Linked DNA regions of Astyanax mexicanus. The protein of the gene in region 1 interacts with the protein of each later gene in a pairwise test. Links are inferred from orthologs where the notes say so. Each region holds a gene or a part of one and is shown in the gene's direction. Other genes may lie near its edges.

What was found.
Region 2: the proteins of rsph1 (region 1) and morn3 interact in binary tests that used the Homo sapiens proteins (3 or more experiments, as listed by UniProt). The two-hybrid records come from large-scale screens. The link is inferred for Astyanax mexicanus from reciprocal best matches to the Homo sapiens genes RSPH1 and MORN3.

Annotation. Positions count from the first base shown.
Region 1 is NC_064418.1:27,594,430-27,605,990, reverse strand, and holds the start of rsph1 (radial spoke head 1 homolog), read left to right. Parts: upstream 1-6,038; 5' UTR 6,039-6,151; coding exon 6,152-6,202; intron 6,203-7,270; coding exon 7,271-7,384; intron 7,385-7,632; coding exon 7,633-7,738; intron 7,739-7,837; coding exon 7,838-7,928; intron 7,929-8,383; coding exon 8,384-8,519; intron 8,520-8,626; coding exon 8,627-8,698; intron 8,699-11,561. Other genes in the region: cln5 (ceroid-lipofuscinosis neuronal protein 5), read right to left, coding at 1,620-2,110, 2,213-2,438, 3,498-3,672, 3,987-4,111.
Region 2 is NC_064427.1:22,462,984-22,474,192, reverse strand, and holds morn3 (MORN repeat-containing protein 3), read left to right. Parts: upstream 1-6,009; 5' UTR 6,010-6,753; coding exon 6,754-6,868; intron 6,869-7,278; coding exon 7,279-7,436; intron 7,437-7,648; coding exon 7,649-7,808; intron 7,809-8,178; coding exon 8,179-8,363; intron 8,364-8,995; coding exon 8,996-9,103; 3' UTR 9,104-9,227; downstream 9,228-11,209. Other genes in the region: tmem120b (transmembrane protein 120B), read right to left, coding at 531-650, 723-791, 1,414-1,478, 1,877-1,969, 2,271-2,332, 2,545-2,610, 2,726-2,815, 3,026-3,121 and 4 more. UniProt on the Homo sapiens protein: Assembles a suppression complex (suppresome) by tethering SIRT1 and MDM2 to regulate composite modifications of p53/TP53.

The DNA of each region.
Region 1 (11,561 bases):
ATAACTTAGTTATTGACAAGCATGACTGTGTATTTTTTCCATCAGAGAAATAAGCTAATATAAGTACCGGTAATATACATTTTAACGAACAGGTTGTAAAAGAAAATAGTGTTAGTAAAGGTACAGAAGTGCCAGTGGAAGCTTAAATAAGTTGGTCTATGTTAAATCACACTAACGAGTGTAAAGATATCTGGTAGAATTTGATTTAGAATTTTGATCAGTTATTTGAGTTATGATCATACCTTGTTGATGAGCTGTGTTGTTTGTGCACAATCCTGGAAAATATGAGAACAAATGTCACTCAGTTGTATATACTGATTTATATGAGTGATATGTTTGTTATTGTCTATTTAAAAGAAATCAGACTCATAGCCAGTGGTGCGTAACTTATAACTGACAGTTTAACATACATAAATACATTGTTTTGGGGTGAAAACTTGGTATGTAAGCATCAGCTTGTCATTTTCAACATGCTTACTAGCTTCACATTTTGCATTGTTCTAATAAAATTGCATTAAATTCCTAATGTGTGGCTTTTTCCCATTAATCCTCATTTTATGTTTTGTGCTCTCAACTTAGTCACAACCTTTTTTACACAACCACTTAGTGTTCAACAAGCCCAAATGATATTATACCGTATTTTTTTGGACTATAAGGCGCACCTAAAATGCTTCATTTTCGCCAAAATCGTCAGTGTGCCTTAACGTTATAATCCATTGCTCCTTATGTATGAATTCCAACAGCCAGGTTGTAAGGGGGTAAGTAAAGCTACCAGTACTGATAAATTACATAGTATAAGGGAGATAACTGGGGCTGAGAATCACTGTTAACTGGGCTAGTTAGCCCAGCTAACCACGGCTGGCTATGCTGCTAACAGTAGCTGGTTATACTGCTAACCAGGGCTAGCTAGCATTGCAAACCGCAGTTGCCTATGCTGCTAACCACAGCTAGCACTCACATTTGGACAAATTACTGGAATTCTAAGCTTACTGTAAATAAACAGAAGCGCTTTACTTACCCAAATAAATAGTTTTCAGTAGAAAAATCTGTGTATATTAACATCCAGCGCTCGTTTAAATGTTTTTTAAAAAATTACAGTTTTGTTTACTTAGGCGCTTCTCCATTAGAGGGGAAACATGGCGACACCCATGCTAGCAAAATGTTACTCCAGCAAAAAATCAGGACTATACCGTAAATTCACATAGCCTTCTAGGTTTTAGAAAGGAACTGTTTTATGTAATGTCATCTAAACACTGTTAATGTGTTTTTCCAAATGTACCTTCCCCTAAAAAAGTAAAAAAAAAAAAATATATATATATATATATATAAGAAAACATGCATTTCATTGTTTGTGACAAAGACCAACTAAGTATTGTAAAATAGCATGATGAATAATTCAAAATAAATGAGATCTGGGAAAAACCATTTAATATCATGCATTCATTTCATAAGTCTCAATAAAATAAGCAATGACTGGTCAAACAAACAACAAACTGAATAACTGGTTTGGTAGATGAAGCCATAGAAAAATATGTAAAGTATGAGCCTTTTAATCCGTAGTTAGTCAGACTTCATTGGATAATCACAGTCAACAAAATCCTCATGTAAAAAATGCAGTCTTAATGTGGTAAAGGAACTTCCTCGTAAGTAATTTGGATGTACGGTGCCTTCATTGGCAGGTGCCAGTACTCAAAGTTGTAGTACAAATAGAATGTCTTCTCCAGTACTACTTTTTTGTAGGCTTCCATCAGACTGAGGATGAACTGAATCATTGATTGATGAGGCTGGAAAGAGTGGTAAAACTCTCTAATATCTGTAGCCAGAGCTTTCATGGAGGACTGGCCGAAGATAGAGTCATCGTCGCCGAGGTAGGTCGGCTCTCCGCTGTACAGGTATATTTTGGTATAGTTTGTCTGACTTCTGCTCGAGAGCTTGGCTCCCAGCTCTTTGATTTTCCTGTATGTGCGATGTACAAACTGTGAGCAGTCATATGATTCAAACCATGTTGTGGAGTTGAGCCCTGGGTCTGAGCGCACTGTCCATGTCTCATAATAAATCCCTGTCTCATTGTCCTCCTGAACCCATCGTGCCAGATTGTTAAACTGCTCACCTAAGAAAAAGAAGAGAAAAACTGTCAGTGACCTTTGTTGTTAAGCCTGTGAATTACACCATTAACTGTATGTACTAAAACCTTCTGCACTGAGCACAGTACCTGACATTTCTCCCACTTTCTCCAGTGTTCCATTTTGTCGCCAGTGCTCGTCATCTATGCCCTCATAGAAGCATGCAGCGCCTTGATTACACCAAAAAGGAGCTGCTGTGTCCTTTCGTAAATGAGGAAAAGTGCAGTTTCCAAGCTGAAAAAGCTCATACCATTCCATAGTATAGTTTCTTCCTGTCTCTGAGCTGGAAAAACCAATGGCATCGTGCATTATATGCTGAAACAAAAAGAAATAGGGCACTTACTACTGTGATCCATGAGAGACTATGCGTTACAAGACTATGAGATAAGTGGGTTGCTAAGTAAGATTTCTTTTTTAAGGATTATAAGACATTACCTTAGAATAGAACACTATTAAAACAGTGTAACTAACTGTATTAATGCAAATATGTTTTTTTTATCTGATAATGTGATACCCTAACAACAATCCCAAACTTATAACAAACTTATCCTGGTTAAACTTTGATCACAGTCAAGCAAAAACTAGTGTCCTCAAAATAACAACTTCACAGTAGGCCAGTCACAGAAATGATTGCACTATTATTGAAGAGACCATTTAAATGCCACTGACAAAGTGATAATAGAACAGCAAAACAAAGCATTCGTTCCCTTTTAAAGACAACACCTTTGTAATTAATCATAGTTTAATGAATTTATTTAGGGAATTTATTGTTACTTTTTCCCCCCCATATATACTTTTTACACCTACTGTTGTCCACACTGTGTGTGTTTAGCAGTTATTTTGCAGTTATTAAAGCATGTGAAGAAGCATACAAATAAATACAATATGATATCATGGTTATTAAAATGATTGAGGTAATGTCCATTTATTGTACTATAAGTAATTATCGTAAAAGGCTTAATTCACAGGAACTTCACATTCCTCCTTCCTTAATTTAGACCCAAATAAGAACTGCCAGAAAAATACCACTGTTTTTATTTACTAATTCATTACTAATAGTGAAGTAATTAAATAGCTAGAATTATGTTAGATGGTTTAAGTTTAGTTTAGTCTGGATTTTTAAGACTTTTTCTTGGAGTTTATGGAACAGTACAAGGACTCTTTCCGAGATTTTTCTAAATAAAATACATTTTCCGAGGAGGAGAAAAATAGAAGTTATTTTAAAGCGTTTATTTTGGTCCAGTTATTATGTTTTTTTACAACATAAAGAATAACTGTCGAATCCAAATTATTTTAAAAGTAAGTGAGAAAGTGGCAAAAATATATATATTTTTTTGGTGACAGTGATTAATGCATTCTGCAATAAGAACTTACAAATTTTCCCAAGAGATCCCCGTATTTAAATTCCCACACTGGAGTCTGCAGCCGAAACACAGAGATCACATCAGAGTCCCTCATGTAGGGAATACGACCATCAGGGTCTCCGGTGGGGCAGAAGGGGTAGAGAGCTTGACAGTATGGGTCAGTGACTGGACGACGGTCAAATCGCCTGTTTCAAAAGAGAAACACACTGCAGTGACTGTGAGTGTGAGTGAGGCCTGTAATCTAATATAAGCAGCAATATAAGCAAGCATTGTGGACCATCTGAATGGTGCTTGTCACTATATAATACCAGTCAGCTGAACTGTGGAATAAAAAAAACATGCTAGTCTCTGGAGTGATCTAACACTGGTTATCTAGACTAACTAACGTCAATACTAAAAGACTAGGTTTACAAAAAAAATAAAAATAAAACATACACAGAAGCTACACCACTGCATGAACACAGTTGAAACAGTCGGATAAATAATACACAGTTCTTACTTGTAAGGAACAGGCCAATCTTGAGTCCCATAAACACTCTGATCAGAGCTGATCAGGGCTAGAAAGCAGATCTGCAGAAGTGAGTAAAAACAGCGTGCTGGACTCATCTTCAGGCCCGTGTTCATGCTGGACTCCGTGCAGCGAAACTTTCCTCCACTCCGTCCACTCACTTCCTTGTTTTGCTTTTGCTAAATGACTGAGGGCACGTGGTACTGCAACAAGTATGTCACGAGGCCAAAACCGTTTTGTGGACACTATTTTAACTGTGAACCGCTAGAGGAAGCCCGCGAGTTAGTTCTCAGTGAATGGAGTGGAATGGAGCTAAACGGCTAAAACACAATTATAAAAGTAATTAATTTTCTTGTCGAGACATTCTAACTGTACAACTGTAGAAAGTAGACTAAAATATTTTGCTAAAAGATCAGAGAATTACTGCTACTGTGTGCTGACTGCTTGTTGAACTGATGCAGATGAAGTTAAAGCTAGAGAACCTTAAATGAGTTTAAAAGGATTATAACTGGGTAATAGATTATGTATGCACTAATTAAACATTTAATATTGTTCTTTGTTGGAAAAACGAGTACATTTTTCAGTTTAAAAATGATCAAACGTTTATAAAATATGATTTTGCTCACATGATCTACATAAACTTTATCCCACTGCACTCTGCAGTGTATTCATAGTTAGATTGAACCTACTACTGCACTATACGCACCTGTAAATAGCAATGTAACATCTATATTTGCACAGATATACATCTCTGAAAAAGAATAAGAGACCACTTTTGTTTCTGAATCATTTTCTCTGATTTTGCTATTTATAGGTATATGTTTAAGTAAAATGAATATTGTTGTTTTATTCTATAAATTACAGACAACATTTTCCCCCAAATTCCAAATAAAAATCTAGTAATTTAGAACCTTTATTTGCAGAAAATGAGAGATGACAAATAAATATGAAGAAGACTTCATATTCATAAAGTTTTAAGAGTTAAGAAATCAATATTTGGTGGAATGACCCTGTTTTTAAATACAGTTTTCATTCATCTTGGCATGTTCTCCTCCACCAGTCTTTCACATTGCTTTTGGATAACTTTATGCCACTACTGGTGCAAAAATACAAGCAGTTCAGCTTGATTTGATGGCTTGTGATCATTCAGCTTCCTCTAGAAGACTATTTTCAATTTGGTAAAAATCAAAGAAATTGTTTTTAAGTGTTCTCTCATTTATTCCAGAGCTGTATTAGTATTGTATGTTTATTTATGTGTATATATGTTTTGTTATGTTGTAAGTATTGTGTTTGTTCTGTACACAATTTTGTCACTCACCTCAGCACTTGTACTTATATGTGATGTGACATATAATCTAGTGTCTATCAAACCCAGAACATACTCTTAAGTAAGTATTATTGCACAAATTCCTACGCTCCAATCTCCAGCTCCATGATTGGCCAGTAGTTCAGTGTAGTAATTAAATTGTTTGAACTGCTTATTTTCTAGCCAATAAAACTGCACGAAGCGGGGTTTGTCAGAATGCAGGTGTTTTAAAATAAATGTGTTTTATAAAAACATAACTTGTGATAGGAAACATAAGTATATGTTATATATATAAGTATATGTATAATACAGAAAAAGCAGAGCATGATATGATACGTCAAAATAATTAAACCATGAAAACGTCTACAAATAAGCAAAACTTTTTCACATTCGTTACTCAGGTAGATTTATAAATACTAATGTTTTATTATTCCAGTAAACTAAGTAAGGTATTTATATTATTTTTTTTGAATATTTGTACTCAGTTAATTCATTTAACATTAATTCATTTAACATTAACATTAATTCAGTTAACATTTCAAACAAGCAGAGTTTGAATAATGTTTCGCAGCTGCTGTCTGCTGGAGGAACAGAGAGTTTAACCGCAGAGGCAAAAGGTTAAAAATGTTCACTGTGGAATTAAATAAGCGAAATGAAAGAGAAAAACCCTGAGAAATAATTGATTCATTTTCAATAGTCGACCAGCTGCTGGAGAGATCAGTTGGCGGATTCTGCGCATGTCTGTTGTAGTCCGTGCACGCGCATTGTCATGGTAACAGAAAGCGTTTCTTTACCGCTCCTCGACTGCGCCCGTTTACTGCTGGGTTTCTTTGTTAACTGAGAAAAAACGATGTCAGACTCCGGATCTGAAATCCTAGAGGATGAGCAGAAGTCAGCTGGAGTAAGTTGGTGTGTGTGTGTGTGTGTGTGTGTGTGTGCTGTGTGTGTGCTCTGGTGTCAGTAGCTGTGAGTGAGTTAGTAACTGTGGTGGTGTGTGTGCGTGTTGTCTGCGTGTGTGTGTGTGTGCTCTACTTAATGTCAGTAAGTTAGCTGTGGGTGAGTTAATAACTGTGCTAGTGTGTTTGTGTGTGTGTGTGCTGTGGTGAGAGTCGGTAGCTGTGGGTGAGTTAGTAACTATGCTGGTATGTGTGTTGTGTGTGTTTTTGTGTATGTGCTCTGGTCAGTGTCAGTAGCTGTGGGTAAGTTAGTAACTGTGCTGGTGTGTGTGTGTGTGTGTGTGTGTGTGTTCTGTAGTGAGTGTCAGTAGCTGTGGGTGATTTAGTAACTGTGCTGGGCTGGTGTGTGTGCTCTAGTGTCAGTAGCTGTGAGTGAGTTAATAACTGTGGTGGTGGCGTGTATGTTGTCTGTGTGTGTTTGTGTGCTGTGGTGAGAGTCAGTAGCTGTGGGTGAGTTAGTAACTATGCTGGTATGCGTGTGTATTTGTGTGTGTGCTCTGGTCAGTGTCAGTAGCTGTGGGTGAGTTAGTAACTGTGGTGGTGGTGTTGTGTGTGTGTGTGTGTGTGCGTGTGTGCTCTGGTTAGTGTCAGTAGCTGTGGGTGTGTTAGTAACTGTGCTGGTGTGTGTGTGTGCTCTGGTTAGTGTCAGTAGCTGTGGGTGAGTTAGTAACTGTGCAGGTGTGTGTGTGCTGTGGTAATTGTCAGTAGCTGTGGGTAAGTTAGTAACTGTGCTGGTGTGTGTGTGTGTGTGTGTGTGTGTGTGTGCTGTAGTAAGTGTCAGTAGTTGTGGGTGAGTTAGTAACTGTAAATGTGTCAGTAGCTGTGGGTAAGTTAGTAACTGTGCTGGTGTGTTTGTGCTGTAGTGAGTGTCAGTAGCTGTGGGTGAGTTAGTTACTGTGCTGGTGTGTGTGTGCTGTAGTGAGTGTCAGTAGCTGTGGGTGAGTTAGTAACTGTAACTGTGTCAGTAGGTGTTGGTGGGTGATTTAGTAACTGTGCTGGTGTGTGTTTATTAGGAGTACAGTGGGGAGCGGAATGAAGCCGGGGAGAGACACGGCTCTGGCAAAGCGGTTCTGCCCAACGGAGACATTTACGAAGGACAGTATGAACACGGGAAAAGATCCGGGAAGGTATTTAATTTAAACACATAGAGCACCCATTAGCAAAAACTGCATCTGTGTGGACCAAGAGAAATTACTTGTATTTAATTGAATTATTATTACTTGTATTAATTACAATGTTTTAAACTTGTATTTAAAATAGATTATTTTTTTTGTAATATTTATGATTTAGTACCTTACCTTACCTTCTTCCCGCAAGTTGCTGTTGTTTTTATGTTTTTAACAAAAACTAAAAGCTGAAATGTATAAATTTTCAGGGAACATACATATTCAGGAATCAAGCTCGATATATAGGGGAATATTACCTGAACCTAAAACATGGACAGGGCATTTTCTACTACCCAGACGGTTCCAAGTATGAAGGTGAGAGTTTAAAAAAAATCTTCAGAATAAGTAGAGTTCATTACTTTAAAGGTTCAGAATACAGTCTGTCTGTTCTGTTTCCTTCCTGTTCTCTGTTAGGTTTCTGGGTGGAAGACCAGCGGCAAGGTCATGGCGTTTATACATATTCCAATGGGGACACATATGATGGAGAGTGGGTGCAGCATCAGAGGTAAAACTGACAACCCAGTCCTCATAACTCACTATAATAGGCTATCTTTTATACATAGCATTTATTCTGTCAAGGAAAGTGTAGTTATGCATATTTTTTCTTACACCAGGGCAGTTCTTTACAAACATACAAGCAAAGAAAAGATCTTAATTTAGCTAAAATGGTTTATATGATATAAAAAAATAGACCAAAATAAATATTGATTACCATGAAAATATCCCATGGATAATTTTCAGTAAATCATGAATAACCAATAATTTTAAGGGCTGCAAAATGGAAATATGTATTTATATAAGCATATTTGAACTATAAGAGTCACAATGAGAGGACAAGGCCTTCTAAGGGGAGCACCCTGACTCATCCAGAAAACTGAATCATAAACAGATGCTACCAACAATAGCAAGGTCTATTATCTACTGACTTTTCCTAACTCTCCTTTTCTCTTCACTTCACAGGCATGGCCAGGGAGTGTACACATACCATGATACAGGCCTTAAGTACACTGGCACATGGGTCAAGGGTAAGATGGAGTCCGCTGGAGAGTTTATACACCTAAGCTACAGATACCAGGGCAACTTTTTCAACAATAAAGTAAGTCAGTTCTTTTTCACTCACATGCCACTGCACTTTGCTTTAAATGAATGCATTGATTTCTGTTGCATCAGTATTATGTTCTTTAAAATCACTTTTATTTTCAGCCCATAGGTCAAGGGAAGTATATATACGATAATGGCTTTGAACAGCACGGAGAGTATGTGCAGGTGGAGCAGGTCAGTTCTTGAATCTAAATGTGTTATATTGAGGAGTTTTATTAAGGTATACATTTGAAGTATATATGTTTCAGTTTTTAGTTCAAGCTAGTCAGCTTCCTTCTGTCTTGCATTATGATGAATGTGTGGTATGAAGCATGTGTATGAATACAGTCGTGACTAACACTCTCATATATACGGAGCCCGGGAGGGGCCGTGGATAAAAAAAATAATAAAATCGAGTGAACGATGTAGCAGTTCGTGCTCACGTTTTCTTTAATTCGAGTGAACGATTTGCAATTCGTGCTCACGATTTCTTTAATTCGTGCTCACGATTTCTGTAATTCGTGCGCACGATTTCTGTAATTCGAGTGAACGATTTCTGTAATTCGTGCTCACGTTTTTATGCGCAATAAGACAAGAAGCTCGGAGGGAAAGGAGCATTTTCTCTCTTGATCTGTTACAGGGGTGCAGTAATGATAATCAGTTATCTACCTTTATAACCTGCTGTTATTAATGCACTAGTGTTACAGTTAGATGTACAGTACAGTGAGCAGATTTTGCCTGGTGGTGGAATCTCTACAGCGCGTGGGGGAGAGCCGTCCGCGGCATCGGTTCCCCCGCCGCCAGACACCTGCCGCGCGCGCAGGTCTTCACGGAGCTTATTTACCAACAATGTAGACAAATACAGTCAATTCCAGTCATGAATAAAGGAAACAAACATTTTACTGATGCAGGACAACTGTGTGTTATTAAAACCAGATCAAAACAAAGTTATAATGCAATGTGCAAATGTGTTTATTAATTTCTAAATAACATTCAGCCAGCCTCCAAGGAAATGCACACCTTCTTAAATCTGGTTACATCATTATTACTTTTATGATAGATTTAATCTATATTTTAATAATTTGTATAATAAATAAACACATAATTCAGAAAATATACATTTAAGAAGTTTATAATTATTATATTTTTTTTATTTGAAGCTTGTGGCATGTTTCTGGGCAGGACACTGTGATTTGAGAATAAGCAGATATTCAGGACATTTCATCAGATATAGAAACTTAATTATTTTAGGAAACATATTGGAATAAATTATCAAATTGATCCAAATTATTATATGAAATGCCTATTTACTAAATATCTTAATACATTGTATTAATAGTATTTTAGACCAGCTATTTTGATTTTATATAGTGTTACATATTTAAAGCAGCTCTTATATGAGCCATTCATAGACAACTGTCACACCTTGCATTAATTTTGTATTATCTTTATTAACTTTTACAGTGTACATTTGGACCTAAGTCTTATAGCTGTATATTTATATAATTATACTTCTTTACGTTATACTATTGTTGGAAATAAGAAATTATAAACAGTTCCACATTGCATTATAACTTTGTTTTGATCTGGTTTTAATAACACACAGTTATCCTGCATTAGTAATGTTTGTTTCCTTTAATCATGACTGGAATTGACTGTATTTGTCTACATTGTTGGTAAATAAGCTCCGTGAAGACCTGCGCGCGCGGCAGGTGTCTGGCGGCGGGGGAACCGATGCCGCGGACGGCTCTCCCCCACGCGCTGTAGAGATTCCACCACCAGGCAAAATCTGCTCACTGTACTGTACATCTAACTGTAACACTAGTGCATTAATAACAGCAGGTTATAAAGGTAGATAACTGATTATCATTACTGCACCCCTGTAACAGATCAAGAGAGAAAATGCTCCTTTCCCTCCGAGCTTCTTGTCTTATTGCGCATAAAAACGTGAGCACGAATTACAGAAATCGTTCACTCGAATTACAGAAATCGTGCGCACGAATTACAGAAATCGTGAGCACGAATTAAAGAAATCGTGAGCACGAATTGCAAATCGTTCACTCGAATTAAAGAAAACGTGAGCACGAACTGCTACATCGTTCACTCGATTTAATTGTTTTTTTTATCCACGGCCCCTCCCGGGCTCCGTACATATAGGACTTACATGGATGAAATGTGGCCTAGGTGGGTTCCAGCCAGGTGGGCAAGTGTGTTTTTACAGCTCTGGAAAAAAATAAGAGACCACTTCACAATGATGAGTTCTTTTTAGTTTTACCAAATTCAAAACCACTAGATATAATCAAGAGGAAGATAAATGATCACAAGCCATCAAACCAAGCTGAACTGTTTGAATTTTATCACCAGGAGTGGCATAAAGCTATACAAAAGCAGTGTGCAAGACTGGTGGAGGAGAAGATACCAAGATACATGAAAACTGTGATTAAAACCCAGGGTTATTCCACCATATATTGATTTCTGAAATTTTTTAAACTTTATGAATATGAACTTGTTTACTTTGCATTATTTGAGGTCTATAAGCTCTGCCTTTTTTGTTATTGCAGCCATTTCTCATTTTCTTAAAAAAAATGCTCAAAATGGCAATATTTTTATTTGGAATTTGGGAGAAACGTTGTCCGTAGTTTATAGAATAAAACAACAACATTAATTTTACTCAAACATGTAACTATAAATAGCAAAGCCAGGGAAACTGATTCAGAAATGGTCTCTTAATTTTTTTTCTGGAGTTGTATATGTGTATGGACCCCATCATTACAGTCAAATGAGGGGTTCTTAAAACCTAGGTGGGATCCAGATTTAAAACCCCTAATGGTCCCATCACTGACATGCATATGTGGAGCCCACATGGAACACATGTTCAGAACTGTCTTGTTTCTAGTTGGGCTACCTACACAGGTCCCACATGAGCATGTTATCTGGGATAATATGTATAAACAAACATCTGGCATGGGAATAAGTGATGTATATGTTAGTAATATGTAGAGATGCTGTCTTTCATATACAAAGTATGATCTGCTTGATACATGTTCTAACTGATTAA
Region 2 (11,209 bases), on another chromosome or scaffold:
GAACTTTATTCAGCATCATTTAAACATACATCATCATGATCATCACACAGACACACACACATACACACTCTCTCGTCCCTTTGACCATCAGTGTATCTCCCAGCAAAAAAGGTAAATAAAGTGGACCTGTGATTCTTTGTAAACATTCATGCATTGACCCGAAACCCGAAACCGAGCAAAGTTTGTTTGCCTACTGAAGCTACAGCGCTACGATGGCAAGGAGCACAGAGTCCAACCCCCAAATCACCATCCTAACAGCAACAGAGCCGAGCTGGAGAGTCCGGGTCCGGATGCGCCCTGGGGTTCTGAACACCTTGCTGGATCGAGGCCAGGCAGTCAGAGCAGAATTCCAGGGCGGACCCGGACCCGGACTCGCCACACTTAAACAAAGCAAAAAATAAACGGTACAGGGTGAAATGTGAGGATCTCTGGGTTACTCCCCAAACCCTTAGGGTCGCAGTCTCTTTAGCGTTCAGAGATACGGCACCGCCGAGCTCCATGGTGCCCCACAGTGGCTCCTGGCTGTCGGTTCAGTCACTCTTGTGCTCGATTTCCTCCTGGTTCTTCAGGAGCTTCTGGTGGACCACCTTTAGTGTTGTCAGGAAGTTCCCCAGGAACAGCACCAGGAATGTTAGCGCCAACATGAACACCTGCAAAGAGCAACAGTTGTAACGTTTTGCTAAGGTAATGATTAATGATCGAACTAGGAATGAGCTGTTTACCTGCCACTCTTTGCAGTCTTCGCGAGCAGACAGCCGGAACAGAGTCACTGAGTTATACAGCTGCCAGAACTGCACACAAAACACACTCCAGTTATTACTCACACTCTACACACCCCACAGGAGACCCCACAGGAGAGACCACAATAGAGCAGCTATTATTATTTGGTTGGTGCACTATTCTCAGTACAGCAGTTTAGTACTGCAGTGTTGAGAATAACGACCCACCACTCAAATAATAATAGCTGCTCTGTGAGTATTGAAGAACAGAATGAAAGGAGATAAATAATAAAGTATTAGAAAAACAGATACAGAACTACAGTCTGTAAATATTATACAACTACTGAGTGAAATATTTGAGCAGTGGAGCTAAAGATATACTGGATAATATGTGTAGAAACAAGGCAGTTGTCATAAGGTTATGCTTGATTGGTGTATGTATATACACACACACTGCAGTGTTTGTTTCTGAAGTATCTGCTTATTAAAGTACTCAGTGTGTGATTTTAGAGTTCTGGGGAAGAGCAGTATGTTCTGATGTAATCAGCAGACACAGATGAATGATAAACACCGGAGAACTGTTTTAAATACAGTGTGTATAGGGTAAGGTAATGCCAGATGAGGTTATTTAAGGTAAGGTAATGTTAGGTATGGTAATGTGAGATAAGGCAGCTACAGTAATGATGGTACTCACATGTCCAAAGAAGAGAAATGGCAGCAGGAAGGTTAAACCCCTCCACATCCATGACTGGAACCCCTCTACAACACACACCATACGGCTTTTTATTATTGTGTATTTTATTTCCTCTTCAGCTGCTTTAGATTAATAAACAGAGGATTTTCCACTGTATGCCGAGTTTAATGTTGATCTGAGTTTAGATATCGGGTGCAGGGAATTAAACCCTCTTCTGCCACGGAGATGGTGGAGTGATTACCCACTACACTAAACACTGGTCCATACCACCTAAACTCCTCCCACTGCTGATACTGAGTGCTGATTGGTCAGTGTTATTGTTGCTGTGTGTTTATTGGTTGGTGTTATTGTTGCTTATTAATTAATTGTTTAGAAAGCCTTGTTCTGAAGCTCTATGGATTCTTTAAAGCACCCCCTGGTATCTGATCGTGATGCTGCAGGTTCTGTTGGTGACTGGGCTCACCTACGGTCAGGTCCAGCTGGTTCCTCTCCCCCAGAGCCCGGAGCCGATACAGACACCCACTCTGATAATAATATTGCAGAAACTGTACTAAACCTGCAACACACACACAAAGTCAAACATTAACACAGGGACACACAGCTTGGAGTAACAATGGGTGTGTCCCAACTGTGATCACACTGCACTTGGAGAACCTGCAGTGATGCATGTTGGCGTAGCAACACCATATAACTTCCTGTTATTACTAAATTAGATAGTATATTAATATTTAGTGCACGAACCTACCAAACCCGCACTATTAATATAAAATAATCTATAACTTACAGTATTAGAGTGTAGGACACCATTGGGACACAGCCAGAGTGTGTGTGTGTGTGTGTGTGTGTGTGTGTCTTACTCTGGTAAATGGAGAAGGCGAGGAATTGACTCCTGAACAGTTGATATATCGCCCCCTCAGGCCTGAAACAGAACAGCAAATTTACATATTACATTTTCAGCCGTTTAGCCACGCTCATTTAACCTATTACAGTTTAGCCATTCAGTCTACAGCCGATTAGTCCCGCCCATTCCGTCTAAAGCCCTTTAGCCCCACCCATTAGGTCTACAGAAGTTCAGATAAAGCTGTATATGGGTTCTGATGAATATAATAGGGTCAATTATCTGAATCTCACCAGGTGAGCATCACTCCCGACAGGAAGGTCGACACGTAGTGATGTGACACCCACCAGCCCTTAATCCTGCAGGGGAAAATAATTAACATATATCAGATTATAACAGTATTACTAATTATTAATATAATAACTGCAGTAATAACAGAGTGATGTAATAGGAAGAGGTGGAGTCTGATCTGACCTGGAGCCGTTACTCATCAGTATACTCTCCCGGATGGTCAGAGTGCAGTAATACCACACCAACAAAAAATTAAAGATTTCATCTGTAACACTGCAACACACACACACACGTTTTCTATACACAAACAGCAATATAATTAGTCATCACTATTAATGCACACTAGAGTTGGCCGGGTTTAGCAGTTGTCGTGCAAGTTTTGGTAGTTGTCTGGAGGGGTTTGGCCGTTGTTGGGCGGAGTTTGGCAGTGGGAGGAGGCATGTGATGCTCTGATTGGTGGATGTACGGTGCAGGCGGACTCACCGGTAGTTAAGCAGGAAGAGACAGGTAACAGCGCCGAACATTAGGATTATAGTCATATAAAGCTTAAACTTCTCATATTCATCTTTATACGCAAACCTGAAACACACATCAGCGATATTTATCCAATTAATAATCAGGAAAAAGTGTAATATTTTCATAATTTGCAATGATTTATGGGACTTACTTTGCCTGATTACTCAGTAGTGTAACATTCACATTCCCCAGGACCAGATTTAAATACAGCCTGTAGAACAAAGAACCACAATCAATCCAACAGAACCACCGTAACAACAATGCCCAGCCCCAGAGGACTGAGGGGTGCAACTGAGTGCTGGGCAGAAAAAAGGGAGACAGAAGGTCTCAGTAATTTGATCATAATCAGCTGCTGCTGTGCTGATTATCCGATTATTACTGTTACAGAACGCACTGATCTGATTACTTACCCGTTCCTCTTTGGTAAATAAGATTCCATATCAAAGAACACATTCTGCTTCTCCTTAATCTGAGTCTGCAGATCAGCGATCACCTCCGATTGGTCCGCATCACATGCCTTTGCACACCTGAATACATTCATCACATTGTAACATTATATTGTTCTTATTATATTATATCATTATAATGTATATATACATTAATCACATTATATACATTTAAATCACACAATTTCACACACCTGCTTATATTAATCACATTAATTAACATATCACAGCACATCAATTTTATGCAATCGCACACGTTTGAAACAAAACATATAATTACATTAATTACATCACACACAATCACATCACATAAAACGAAAGACAACACTCTAACATACATCAGTTACATCCCACTAACTAAATCACATCATATTAATCAAAACACAATTAAACCACTTATGACTAAAACCAGTCATACCATAACATCAGTCCATATCAGTCACCCCCCATTAATCACAAACACACACACAATCACATCATATCATACCAATCATAGCATTGTATTATGGCTCAGCTGACCAACCAGAAACCAGGTTATACTAAACTGAACTATAGTAAAGTAAAGTTGAGGTGAAGTGAGCTGAAGTGTAAACAGAATCCAGGATTTGGATCCTGATCCGGATCCGGTCGTGATACGTACTTGTGGAGCGTTTTCCGGAGCTCTTTAAGGCCTTTCCTCTGTTTGCAGATGGAGCTACTGCAGATGGCCTGCAAGCTGGTCAGCTCCTCCAGCTTCTGCCTGTACACTTTATGAGTCTCCTAAACAAAAACAGGGGAAGTGAGCAAATTTAGTAGGGGCAGTGATTTGGATAGCCTCCTGAAGGATGTATGGAGTGTTTGTAAGTGTTTATTTATTTTATTTAATTCTTGTAAGTGACGAGGTAAAAGACTAAAGCTGGATTTAACTCAATGTGATGTTATGACACATCATATCAAAAACAAATGCTGTAAATATAGCATATTTGGGAGCTTTACGTAAAAATCCCCTTCGCGATTTCGCTCCGACTCCCTGGCTGGATCCGCTGCAGCGGAGCCATACAGGGAGTCGGAGCGAAATCCCGGAGCGGGTTTATACTTAATGTCCTCCATCTAGCTTTAGCTAGTAAGTACAGGCTTCGTAAGTGGTTACTGACCTCCAGGGATGTAAAGACAAGCTAATCATTATGAAATATAATCAGCAAATCAATCAAACAATAACAAAACATAAAACTTAAACAACTAAACACTGCCAAATCCACCTTTCAGCAGGCATGGTAGCCACCATATCCAGGGTTAGACCTGATTATACCCACATATACACACTTTACCACCTTATCACTCATTAATACTGATCAAAAATCAATCCCCAGGCTAATCAATTACTCCCCCAAACCTGTAGCTGCTGATATTCCTGCTCTATTTCCCTCCAGTCACTCTCACAGCGCTCCAGTGACATTGTAGCCGCGTCCACACTCAATACACTGTCCCTCGCTGCCCGCGGACGAGTTCCAATACCCTCACTCGTGTCCTACGAAGTACGCTTGAGTTCCAGGGCGTGCTGGTGTTTGCGGGGTTGGTGTTCTTCGTGAACGGAGTTCTGCCGCCTGCGGGAGGATTTGGAGCAGAACTCGAGAAAAAACAAGAAGAAAACGCAGGACAGAAAGTTCCTCGCTGATTAAGGGCTCGAGGAAGGGAGCGAGGGCGCATAAAGGGACGCGGCCCGTTCTGCCACTTAGCGCTGACTGGCTGCTGTGCTTCTTCTGCGCGTCATACTTGGAGTATCAGCGCTCCCTGGCGCCGCCTACCGAGTGCAGCCTGTAATCTGTAATCAGCAGCTCCGATCTGTTTTAGAATAAAATTAATATTAATATTTAAAATGATGAATATAGTTTCTAAGCAGTAAATATAATAAATATTTATATTTATAACGTTTACTGACTAACACTAATTCATTCAGAGCCGAGTTTAAAAATTTTTTTTTAAACACAACTCTGAATCAGTTTTCAATGGTCACGTGGTCACAAGAGTCGATTCCCCATGAATTCTATGCAAACTTTATAACCTAGAAATAATCTTAAAAAATGTTATTACAAAATTCATAATCCTGTTACATTATCAGCTAAAATAACTAACCTGTCTTTTTAATGAGTGAGTGTGAAGGTGACGACTCCTGATTCCCAAACTCGCGAAATTTGAGAATCGACTCCTTTAAGAATCGACTTCGTTAAGAATCGACTTCCAGCCCTTCCAAGCCTCGGTTTAAAGCTTTAAAACTTTTTTATTAAAGTATATAAAGTTAATTCTCTGTTTAGGAAATATTTAACTTTACAGATATTAATTTCCTCATGTTTTTAGATACTTTTTTAACTCAAAATGACTGATATATACAAATCCTTTATAAATAAATTAATGTTTAGAAGTAAGAAATATTACTAGTATTGTGAGAAAATTCGGTATAAAGATTATTTACTGTCGGTATTATATATTTATACACTCTGTAGTTTAGCAGTTTTAATAGCTTTATTATATATCTTATTTGTATTGATGAAAGTAAACAGTAATAAAGTACAGGGCCGTGTTTGTGTAGGTTTCAGTAGTGAAGGGAGGAAGGGTAGCTCCCGAATTGGGACAATTTAAATGAGGCAGTTTGGAACACAGCCGGGTTGCCATGATACGCAGTAAACAAAATGCGGCCGATAAAGTTACTGATCTGCAGATTCACCACAAACTCGCCAGAACCAGAACCGAGTCACAGCCTCCAGAACTGAGTTAAAGCCTTTAGAACCGAGTCACAGCCTCCAGAACAGAATTAGAGCCTCCAGAACCGAATTAGAGCCTCCAGAAACGATTTATAACCTCAAGAAGTGAGTTTAAGTCTCCAGAACCAGAACGGAGTTACAGCCTTCAGAACCAGAAGCAGGACTGAGTTACAGCCTCCAGAACCAGAACTGAGTCACAGCCTCTAGAAACAGTACCAAGTCATAGCCTCCAGAACTAAATTACAGACACCAGAACTGAGTGACAGCCTCCGGAACTGAGTCACAGCCTTCAGAACCAGAACCAAAACTGAGTTACAGCCACCAGAACCGAGTAACAGCTTTTAAGAAAGGGGTTACAGAATCCTAAAGCGAGTTACAGCCTTCAGAACTGGGTTACAGAATCCAGAACCGAGTTACAGCCTCTAGAAACGAGTTAAAGCAGCTGAACCCAGCTCTGCTGAGCCTGAGACCCACTCTGAACCCCAGAACCAGGTCCAGTTAACTTGGAGCGATGTCTCTCACCAGACTGTGGGACAAGAAGGCGGAGAAGAACGGTGTTCTCCGGACGGTGTTCTCTGTTACTGGTGACCAGTACACTGGAGAGTGGCTGCAGAACCGCAAACATGGTACCAAGATCCACAACATTCTCCTTATGGTTCTGCTCTATTTGCACTATTGAACTAACTATATGCATTACTAAACTTTATACCCACTACTGAACTAACTATACATTGTACTGAACTAACTAACACACTACTAAACTAAGTCTGCACACACTGAACTAACTCTATACAAAAAATACTGAACTAACTATACAGACTACTAAAATATCTGTGCACACATTAACTAACTATACGCATTACTAAACTTTATACACACTGCTGAACTTACACTATGCATTACTGAACTCTACACACTACAGATCTATTTCTATGCACTCTGCTAAATTAAATATACATATACTGAACTGTACAGGATACTGAGTTATATGTGTTATGGTGAGTGCTAAGGGTGCCGATTGCTCTACTGTGTGCAGGTAAGGGAACTCAGGTGTGGAAAAGGGCAGGTGTGGTTTATGATGGTGAGTGGAGGTTTGGGAAGCGGGATGGTTTCGGCACTTTGAGCAAACAGTCGCCACCCTCTAACAACTACGAGGTGATTTACTCAGGAGAATGGAAAAACGACAAGAAGGAGGTGAGTCTACTGGGAGGGCCCTAACTTTTATAGGCTGAATGGGGAGGGTTAAAATGCTGAATGGGTGGAGCCAAACAGCTGAAGGGCTGAATTGGTGGGGCTAAACTTCTGAAGAGCTGAATGAGTGGGGCTAAACCTCTGAAAAGCAGAATGGTTGGAGCTAAACTTTTGGAGGACTAAATGGGTGTGACTAAATGTGTTTGTGTGTTTAGGGTTTTGGAATGGAGGTCTACAGCCCCAGCTCATTGTATGAGGGTCAGTGGGTGGAGCATGAGAGAAGTGGCTCAGGCAGGATGTTCTACCCCAATGGAGATGTTTATGAGGGGGAGTGGCTGAAGGACAAACCACATGGACAGGGCGTCCTAACACTTGGTACTGACCACACACCCAGTTATATAAGCCTGTACCCCACCAATTAGAATAGTGCTAACCTCATGGCTAAATCCTCACATAATGGAATTATCAGTTCAACCTTAAATGGTGCAGAAGTTTTATTAGAACACTGTACAGGTGTCTCCTGCAGTTTTCTGTCAGTTATATGAGGTTGTTTTTGCCTTGTCTTACCAGCATATGCGGTACATCTCCTGAGGTTTCTTGGTCTTCCAGAGCTCATCTTGACATCCACAGTTCCCCTGAACTGCCCTAAATTCTTTAACAAAACTGTCCGTTCCACCTTAAATAATACAGCTGCTGTAGCAGCATTCAGACAGGTAGCTAATTTATTTATGTCTGTGTGTTGAAGCAAACGGGAACAGGTATGAAGGAAGCTGGAAAGACGGGAGGAAAAACGGACCCGGTTGCTTTTTCTACCTGGATAAAGGTCAGCTGTACGAGGGGTTCTGGGTGGACGACGTGGCGAAGTGTGGTACGATGTGCGATTTCGGACGAGAGCATGCAGCCACACCCACAGTTTATCCCATCCCTCAGGTAAAAATTACATTTAATATATTTACATATTTAGCTTATAGACTACAAAAAATATTGTTGGTGGCTGTGATCAAAATAGCTCCCTATTTACTATTTTCTCGGAGTGTCCTAAGAGCACCATAAACACTCCCATAATTGATTTATAGTACACATCGCTGTATAATACATGAGCTAAATGTGTCTCAAAATGTTAAGTTTCGGTCCCATCCAATCCATAGTCTGCTTTAAAGTCTCCACCCATTTAGCCTGCATCATATATGGATATATTTATTGAATTATAGGAACTTTAAACTTTCTAAGGCCCTAATTAGTCTTACTAAAGTTACTGCTTTATTACTCTACATGGTGGAGCTATAATCAAATAAATAGGGTTAATTCCATAATAACTGATATTTGATTATTTAGGAGTATTTTATTCTCTTCAGTAACACAGATGCTGTGAAGTATCGCAGCGAACTGTCTTGTGATATATCGAGTATAGCAAAATCACAGTATTGGGATAATATTGTATCGTGAGGTGCCCCGTGAATCAGACCTCTAATCAATACAAATATTCACATTAAGGTTCTTTAGAGGCGTGGTTTATCTCTAAAGAGTGCACATGTGTGAGGTCAGGTGTGCCCTCTCCTCAGGTGCAGCTGCAGGATGCTGAAAGTGTGTTACTGGAGGGAATTGCCGACTGTTCCAACATCGGAGAGCAACACCAGTACGACAAGAGCAGCCCAGAAACACCTGAGTGAAAACACACCTGCTCAACTCACAGTCAGAACCCCCCACCCCATGTCTGATTATCACACACTCTGAACTGAGAGACTGGAAGTTAAAACAGATTATAGCTGTATATAAACATAATTATAATTATGACTTTAAATGTGTGTTTATTGATGAAGGATTATGGGTAATGGTGGTTGTATTGTGGTGAAACTGCGGCAGTAAACACTAAAAGGTCAATATTAGAATTATTAAAAAAAGAATCAGTATATATTTTAGTTATTCTATTGCTGAGAAGCCAGAGAATCACTGCTCAGACATGGGTTTATGAGATTCAGTTTTATTGGATTAAAATGTTTATGAAGTTTATGACAAAAATGTTCCAGTTCTTATCCAGTAAACAATAAAATAATACAAACAGGCTCCACCTTCCTCCTCATGTAAACAGTTAATATTTGTGTCTTATTCTATTTGGTCATAAAATTAATATTCTGTAAACAGCCAGTGGAATCAATCTGCAGCCGTGCTAATTCCGCTAACTCAGACGGACACACTTTCACATTAAAACTGCTTCGGTCAGATTCTCCTTAAACACAGTTATTTAACTTAAGAAATTTATCCAAAATCTAAAAACCTGAACTTAAACACTATAAACATCATAGTTTTCCCTTAGCTAATCAGGCTAACTGTGAAATTAGCCCTCTGAGACCCGTTTTTCAACATAAAGGTTTCAGAAACTTTACCATTACTATAATGTAAACATTCATTTTCTGTAAAGTGCTCACCAGATCAACATTTAATTAAAACTGATATTAAACTGAAATATTTGTATATATTGAGAGGAGCAGAACACTGACATTGTTCTGATTATCTCTCTCTGATATCGAATCCAGTGTTTATGTAAACACTGTAAGAGAGGAGAGTGAGATGCTGTAAGGGGTAAATCATTATGTTCACGATGTCGTTATGCGGAATTAGGAGTGTATGTCATACAGTTAGCGCTTACCGCTTCGTTCAACACAGGCAGCTAATCAGTTCTGTTAGATCAGAGTCTGAATAAAAACTGTAAACTGAAGTGTCTTCATCAACAAATTGCTTCGATCTGCTCACATGATCAATAAACACAATGACACAACTGTAATCTAAAAACAGATAAATATTAAATAATAATGAGCTTATGATCGGACTGCAGTCACCGGACAGAATAACGTTACGGACAGTTTGTTTTAAGCGTTTAACAAGCATTTCATCGCATGCCACAATCAGACCCGCAGCCACGTTCACATTACAGGAATAATCAGACCTGATCACTGAGTGAAAATTTATCAGTTTCAGATCAACTTTACTTTATATCAATGTGGGTAATCAAATAATTGGGGAAAACTTCAGAGTAACAGGAGTTAGATAATAATCAGATTTCTATTTTTAAACCAGCCAATAAACTCACAGATACGTAAACTTTAAACCTTCTTAAGTGAATTACACGACTTATGTTAAAATAGACCTGCTTTACCCATATATATATATATATATATATATATATATATATATATATATATATATGTTGTAACAGTTTTTATGGGTTATTTGTGCTGATTTCCAGAATGTTTAGCAACATTAGTCTACCATCTTCTTCTGTAAAACATCAGATACTAAATTTGACGTGGCTAATTAATGAATCTGCAGAATAATCATGAATAATTGATTGAATTTTACTGCGCTGATTGTTTAATTCGTCATGCATAGTCATTCCGTGTTGTTTAGTCATTCTGGGCAGAATGACAATATATATTTTTGTGATATGTTTTATCATGATAGGATACCTTTTTACCATAAAGTCCTGGGACAGCAGGATGTAAACTGATCATTAAGTGATTCCTCAGGGGACAGAGGGCTTGCAAATGCCAACACCTGTATAAGTATTGAGATGTTATAAGTGTGGTTGTTTAAAAACTGATCCTAAAATTGGGTGCAGATGGATGGAAATACTCCATTGAAGCTAATATCACCATGATAGAGTGATGAAGAGCGGAGGCGTCTGGCTAGAATTGCCCGTGTAATAAACAGAGACTTGTGAAGTCACACCCACATTTACTGCAGGAGACTCCACTCACATATTCCACGGCTCAATGCAG